2 linked regions of the Bombyx mori genome follow. The protein of the gene in region 2 interacts with the protein of the main gene of each other region in a pairwise test. Links are inferred from orthologs where the notes say so. Each region holds a gene or a part of one and is shown on either strand. Other genes may lie near its edges.

Region 1 (4,188 bases), on a different chromosome or scaffold from region 2:
TAGTTATAACAATATTTTTTAAATTTGTTGGTAAAAATCTGGTTTATTCGTGATGTTTTTGTCTAGAACTTTTATTCAAAATTATCAATGTTTTATTTTATTGTTTGGTAAATATTTATATTATCAGTTACGTATTGTTTTCTGTTTTTAGATATGCCTCGCGTGTACGTATCAAAGAATGCAAAGCCTTATAAGAGATATTATCCCTTAATATTAAAAACAGCAATTAGGAAATTTTCTATTTGGGAATAAGTCTTTAGTTGAAATAGCTAAGCAATTTAATATAAGTAAGTCAATTTTGCACAGACATGTAATAAGAACAATGAAATCTCAAGGTGGACAAAAATGTCTAAGTAATACATAATAAAATATTTATTATTTGTTCAGAGTGTCCGTTTTTTAATGTTTTTTATTGATGATCACTTTGTTGGTGCAACTAAATAAATAAATTAAAACCAAGTAGTGCCCACCCTAGCAAATTTCTCATTTCGTCCCAATTAACCGCAATTTCCGGGTAAATAGGGATTACACCTATTTTTGCTTTTTTTGCTTAAACTGGAATGCTAGTTGCATAGTTTTAAATTGGACAACAAAGATGCTCCCAAGACTCAATCATTTTGATCCTGATATAGCATTATATACATCAACAACTACCTTAAAATTGGTCATAAAGATGGAATTTGTCCCTAATCGCCCCATTTTACCGGTACTTGCGTATTTCAAGTTGCTTCCGCTTGCAGTTCTTTCACTGAAGTTCCAGTACATGTGTAATTTCTATTTTTAGTATTGTTTAAAAGTGATTTATTAAAGACCTTGTTTAGTTTTTAGTTCTTTTTATTTCAAATGATTTTTAGTAGTTTAATTGAGTTTGGTAATTTTTTTTTATTTCACTTAACATCATTTCAAAATATGGTACTCGTTTATGACTTCGTTTCATGTATCGATCCCCGTGCCTATCAGATTTTGAAATAAAATAATAAAAATTACACTTTGAAAATTTTCGAATTAACATCTGACAATTTTTTTAGCGGGAACGCAAGGCGCTAAGTTCTGTTAATTTTGTTAAAGTAGTGCTCATGTTTAAACGTGTAATAACGGTGATTATTACACTATTATTATACTATATTACATTATTAACTGTTTAGTATCTCTGAAGGTGCACAAATGTGGGAAAATGAAACAAATTCGCTGGACGTAGCTTCTCAAAAGCTTCCAAAAAGTCTTGGTGCATAACCACCACTCCACTGAGACTATATTTCATCACATCTCATCTCATTTCATTAACATCCTAATTGATTTACTGTCTCAAATTAATAAACTTCATCTCATTTCGCTCTATGGTTTTTCAAAACACAGAATTCACAGAATACACAAAAAATACGCTGTATGGTGTGATACCTTCGTTTTTCCAGTTCAAAAAATAAAGTAGCCGATAAGACTGACATATGACTGACATTAAAAACAAATTTATTTGATCTTACTTGATTTTACTTCAGTGGTTAGATTAATAAAATAAACATTATATTTTTAAAATTAGCACATAAACTTAAAGGCAAATGATAAATACTGAAAAAAATTTGTTCAGTCAACATATTATATCATAAAAATCGTTAATTTAATTATGAAGGATCTTAAGGTTAAATAAATCTAAAACTTCTATTTTAGCCTCATGATCGCGCTATGAAAGTAACTGTAAAAAGTAAGCACAATCTCTTTTTTTCATAATGTTTATTTTCCCTGGTTAATTTACACTTTATTCTTTGCAACTTAAAACACACTGACATTAAAGTAAATTAAGTAGTAATTTTTGCTAAGTGCCTTATTGTCATAGAGCACAATTCTTAAAAATTCCTCATACAAGGAAGAACCGATTGAAATTGAAATATTCACAGTAACGAGATAATTCATTTTAGGTTGGACAGGGGTTGCAACTTGGAGGTGGGTAGCAAACGACGACAATTGTGGGATTTGTCGTATGCCATTTGATAGCTGCTGTCCAGACTGCAAACTACCTGGGGACGACTGCCCTCTAGTTTGGGGTGCTTGCTCTCACTGTTTCCACATTCACTGTATCGTAAAGTGGCTACACTCTCAGCCTCAACAGCAGTGTCCTATGTGCAGACAAGACTGGAAGTTCAATAACAAGTGAAATATTCGTAAGTACATACCATAAATTAAGAAAATATAGTTTAAATAATAAATAAATATAGGTTTTTATTCTCACACTTTATTGTGTCACTGCTGTCCCATTTTGTAACTATATTTTGTTTACCAACCTATAAGGCTAGAATAATTTGGAAAAATTTATTGTTTGGTGTTTTCAAACTCAATAAGTAGTTAAATGGTTCGATGATTATAGAGTCACAAATCCTTATTAGTCATTTTTAGTTTAGTGATAACAAGTTTAAATCTCACCTTAACTTATTAATCAGGTGGTATGTAGTATAGAATATAGGGATTGATCTGCACATAATAGCAACTTTTATTATTAATGTCAGAATAATGCAAATCTAACATAAATGAAGTTGACAATATCACAACATTTTTCTTTCTTTGAAGCTTTGATTACGGAGTTCTACAGTTTCCTTCCTTTCATAATTCAGCAGAGTACTAAGTTTTAAAGACAAAAGGTTGCTACTATGCTAGTACAGATTAAATATTATTAAAGTTTTCTGTGAATTGTTGTACAAGGGATTGTCAAAAATATCATAATAACGAGGGGTGAAAGGTTATTATTTGGTTTAAGAGATAATATTCGATATTTATCTTTGTAATTAAAGGTGCATTTTATTTGATGTCAGTATAATTTTTTAATTGAACTTTAATTAAGCTAAAGAAGTTTTTTTTTTATTATGTTTTTTTTTTCAAATTTTAAACTTTAAATGGCTCTGCTATAAAGCTGCAAAAATGTCGCTCAAATCAAATAGCCTTTCACCCCGATATGAACTACTGATAAATTTAGATGTGTTGGTGAAATTAGCCTACCTTATGTTCTTTTTTTTTTTATTGCCCCTGTGGGCATACGGCCCACCTGATGGTGAGTGGTTACCGTCGCCCATGGACCTCAGCAATGCTAGGGGCAGAGCCAAGCCGCTGCCTACTGCTAAAATTTTCACTGCTTTTCCATTATTTGTATTTGGGCAGGGATTAGATGCAGTGTAGTTCGACTCCCACAACCTGAATTTGTTCAAACCACTCTGAAATTATAAATATTAGGTAATGATTATTAACAAAACATCTGTAGTGATAGAAAACAATCTCTGGAAAAATATTCTATAAGGATTCTGGATGATTTGCCTTTGGCACCAAATAATTTGGTCAAAGGGCAAATTATCTCTCCCAAAAAAACCAAAATACTGGGATACTCTTAAAATATAATCTTTATATACAGTATTTATAATATACTTTTTTACTGGGCATCGTTTCTGCCTGCACTGATAGTGACCACCATCCTACATATTTTTGCTGTGAAGCAGTAAAATGTAAACATTTGATGTGTGGAGCAGCCGATGTACTGTAAAAACTGACTTAGAAGTCATGTCACAGAATGGGTTGTGACAACTCATTAATCTCTCAGCAAAAATTAACTGTGAACCTTGCTGTCTATTCTTCGAGTTGCCTTTCGCAAAACTCACGAGAAGAGAGTGGATGCCATTCTAGGCCCTCTGGAGCTTAGTGTGCTGCATGCCGACATCGGTGTGTTTATAAACCAAAAAGGTCCCACATATTGCTTAACAGCACTTCAAAGAAATGTGATCAAAGCTGAAGTCCTGACAGGATACGTTGATGGCAAGCAATTTTTTTTGCCCCGAAATCGTCCTTTTAATTTTTTTAATTTTTCTTGTTGCTTCGATGGGTGGACGAGCTCACAGCCCACCTGATGTTAAGTGGTTATTGGAGCCCATAGACATCTACAAACTAAATACGCCACCCACGTTGAGATATAAGTTCTAAGGTCTCAGTATAGTTACAACGGCTGCCCCACCCTTCAAGCCGAAACGCATTACTGTTTCATGGCAGAAATAGGCGAAGTAGTGGTACCTACCCGCGCGGACTCACAAGAGGTCCTACCACCTACTTAATCAAATATCATTTAGTTTCAAACGCGTAATTTTTGTTTGGCAATGACGCGTAAATAATACACGCGGGGGTAGACATCTACCAGCTGCTTCGCGCATGGCCAATAGT
Region 2 (4,182 bases):
TTTTGTATACATTTATTCAACTAATACAATTAATTAAACAAAAAATGAGTAATTTCGAAAGAGAACAAACGTATTTTATATAAGAACAATCGAAAATGAATATTTACGAGTAATTAAGGACGAAAAAATTTTAAAAATTGCAATCGAGGGGCTAACTTTTAGATATATTTTTAATATTTTTTTTAAAATAAATAAATGGGGAACAAACAATTATTAACAATGAACAATCAAGAACAAATGATGAACAAACGAATTAATAGAAAATAAGTAGAAAACAGGAAAAAAAAATTTTTTTGAGGGGCTAACTTCATTCACCTATAAAATCACACCATTTAATTTATAACAAAGGCCAAAACCATATATTTTGTTGTGAGAAAAGTGAAATAGGAATTTTGCACAAAAAAAATCCGGCGAGTTATTTAGCCGCGTGGAACTAAATTAAATGTCAGAAATATTGGAGCTCAATGAATTTGGCCCCCCCCCCTTTGTAATTATTGGATTTTTTATTTTTAATTGTTATTTCGTCTTTTATTTATTTATAATTAATTAAACAAATGATCACCCTTAAGTCGGCCCCTCTTACTAGATGTCTTTATTTCTATCACTCAGACTAATTAATTTTGATCAATTATCGTTTGTTCGGCGACTATTGGTGATTGTTGCATCATAAAAACAAATAAATTCCCAATTATTAATTATTTTATATCTATTAAGCAATCAGGCCTATATTGTGCATGCGCCGGTTTTGTCAGTCACCTATCAATGGCCGTATTTACTAGCGTTTTGTTAACAAGTGCGCTTAAACTGTCTAATTATTTCCTAGGTAGATCAAAAAAATATTGAAAACTTCAACAATACTTCAACAAAAAAATGTCAGTGAAGACGACCAATTAGTCGTTAAAGTACGATTCGCCCGGTTTTAATAAATTCAGTTATTTTTAATTATATTGAATATTAACAACCATATAGAAATTTCAGTGATTTCTAATTATTCTAAGAATATTAAATTAATAATTGGGAATTTAATTGTTTTTATGATCGAGCAATCACCAGTAGTTGTCGAACAAACGATAATTGATCACAATTAATTAATCTGATCGATAAAAATAAAGATATTTTGTAAGAGGGGCTAACTTAAGAGTGATCATTTGTTTAATTATAAATAAATAATGGACGAACAAACAATTTTTACATTCGAACATTAACGAACAAACGACGAATAAATAATTAAAATTAAAAAAATATATTTGAAAATTAAAAAAAGGAGGCCAAATTCAGCTAAAATACTAACTCTATGGCACAGGACCACAGATCATAGATTAGACACTTAATATCCACAGATTAATATATTAGGATTGAACGCAAAGAGTAAAGTGTAAACATTAATTAATTTATTTATGAGGATATCGTTCTTAGATCTTAGATCTTATGTATAAGATAACTGACCTGCAATAATGATGAATATAAATCATAAAAAGGAAGATTTGAAACTGTACTGGAATAAAATAAACTATGCCTATCCAATTCTCGATGATAAAATTTTCAGCGACTGTACTGAGGCTGAATACGATGAAGTGCAAGTGTTAATAGTTAATTTGGGTGTCCAAATAAAGATACGTGATCTTGTATTTGTTCATATTGAGAAATATCTACGACAACATGTCGCATCTAGTTTTTGGTCAAAATATATTAAGACCGCGGAAGAAGTTAAAGGATTTCAACTATTTAAATCTTCAGTGAATGATCTCTATGAAGCAGTTTCTAGTTTCTCACCCATGTTACAAAGATTGACTAAATTGAACAGTAGTTGTAATGATAATAAGTTAATTTATGGCGAGAAAAATCTTGTATTAGGTTTTAAGCAGCTCGTCCGAGCTACTCTTCTGTCTCAGTTACCCATCGACTTTCAGTGTATTATAAACCAATTCTACAAAATATCTTTTAATGTTTTCGATAATGAATATGAAAACTCCGACATGGGCGAGGACATAATGTGTTCTGGTTGTGGAAACGAGTATTCCGATTGTAACTGTGCATACATTGTGAAAGTATTTCATGAAACAAATAGGAAGTTGGTGGAGTTACAATTGTTAGAAAGACTCACAGGTCAAGTTCTAACTAATTTCATCCAGTTGAGAATTCAGTCTCATATACAGAAAGTATGTACTGGCACTTTTGATGTGTCCCACATTGAAGCATTAGAAAGTTGGCTTAATACGACAGTAATGTCTTGGTTGATCAGAATTTATTGTGCTGGCTCCTCCAAACCTCCACCTGATGATAAAAATATACAAAATGCAATCTCAAGATTCAAACAGAAACTCACTTACTATCTCTATCATAGCTACACAAAAACAAGAATTGATCAGCTCTTCAACATCATTATAGAATATCCTGATTCCCAGCCTGCTGTTGATGACATCAAAATTTGTTTAGCAAAAACAGATTTGAGACCAACTCTATGTAAAAAGTTACAGAATGCATTAGAAACAAGGCTTCTTCACCCAGGCGTGAACACTCCTGACATACTCACTGCTTACATATCTACTATTAGAGCTTTGAGACACCTAGATCCTTCTGGTGTTATACTGGAAACAGTGACAAAACCTGTTCGTAATTATTTAAGAAGTAGAGAAGATACAGTGAGGAGTGTTGTGAGCAGTTTGACAGAAGAAGGTGCTGGTAGTGAGTTAGCTGAAGAGCTAGCTAAATTTGCAGCAGAAGGAGATGGCGATGCCGATAAAGATGAGGCTTGGGATGAATGGAATCCTGATCCAGTTGATGCTGATCCCAAAGTTGATTCAAATGACAGAAGAACTAATGATATTATATCTATGCTTGTTAATGTTTATGGTAGCAAGGAATTGTTTGTTAATGAATATAGAACTTTACTAGCTGATAGATTACTGGCTCAAAGTGTTATCAATACAGAAAAAGAAATTAGGTACCTGGAGCTATTAAAAATAAGATTTGGTGAATCACAATTACACTTCTGTGAAGTCATGCTTAAAGATATATCAGATTCAAAGAGAATTAATTCCTTAATACATCAGGACAAAACCATTGAGGAGCTGAATAAGAAATTTACTTCTAATGCAATGATTTTATCTGCACAGTTTTGGCCACCATTTAAAGATGAAAGTCTGGAATTACCAGAAGAAATCAAGGAACATTTTGAAGCATACACTAAATCTTATGAAGCTTTAAAAGGTAATCGAACATTAAGCTGGAAACCACACCTTGGAAATGTAAACTTAGAGATAGAAATAGGCGAAAAGAAGTTAGATCTGACAGTTTCACCTTTTAATGCGACATTGATAATGCATTTCCAAAATAAATCTGAATGGACGTTAGATGAACTCCATCAGGTGATGAAAGTTCCTATTACTATTCTGAGAAGGAAAATAACATACTGGCAATCGATGGGTTTAATAGCAGAAAAAAGTACAGATCACTTTGTTTTAGTTGAAGCTGATAATAAAGCCAGTGTACCTTCACATCAAGTACAGGAAATGATTTGTGAAGATGAAGAAACGGAGAGTGCCATGGCATCAGCACATGATCAGCGGGAAGGTGAACTGCAAGTTTTTTGGTCTTATATTGTAGGCATGTTAACAAACTTGGACTGTTTGCCTTTGGACAGAATACATCAAATGTTGAAGATGTTTGCTTCCCAAGCTCCAGGCACTGAATGCAGTCTTATGGAGCTGAGACAATTTTTAGACACAAAAGTAAGAACACATCAACTGGTACTTCAAGGAGGCATGTACAAATTGCCTAAGACATAGATGTTAATATTTATCAGAAATAAAAAAGAACTTGAAAGTTAACAAAACTTTATTTTCACCTTTTATATATTAATTTGGTTACATTACATGTCTATTTAAGTTAAAAGTTCAGATGCTTAAAACAATTTCTTTAAGCTGTTCCATCAACAAAATACATTATAAATTAAAATAAGTAATACCACCACTTGACTATAAAATAATACGAATAACATTTAAATACTTAGTGAATTTAATACATTATCATGTGTCAGTCTTAATATCTATTAAAATACTGTTTAAATTAAGAAGTAAGAATAAATAAATAAAACTAATTTGACAAGAAAAACATACTGGAGATAATACAGATTCATTATAAATATGCAGGGTGGAATGCATTTGGTCTAAAAAAAATTAA

What was found. The genes of interacting proteins can lie anywhere in the genome.
Region 1: the proteins of anaphase-promoting complex subunit 2 (region 2) and anaphase promoting complex subunit 11 interact in a two-hybrid assay, tested with the Drosophila melanogaster proteins (2 studies listed by BioGRID). The link is inferred for Bombyx mori from reciprocal best matches to the Drosophila melanogaster genes mr and lmgA.

The regions. Positions count from the first base shown.
Region 1 is NC_085118.1:13,747,143-13,751,330, forward strand, and holds the start of anaphase promoting complex subunit 11, read left to right. Parts: upstream 1-1,498; 5' UTR 1,499-1,680; coding exon 1,681-1,699; intron 1,700-1,709; exon of another isoform or gene 1,710-1,913; coding exon 1,914-2,149; 3' UTR 2,150-2,156; exon of another isoform or gene 2,157-3,197; intron 3,198-4,188.
Region 2 is NC_085131.1:8,614,763-8,618,944, reverse strand, and holds anaphase-promoting complex subunit 2, read left to right. Parts: upstream 1-1,323; 5' UTR 1,324-1,454; coding exon 1,455-3,788; 3' UTR 3,789-3,835; downstream 3,836-4,182.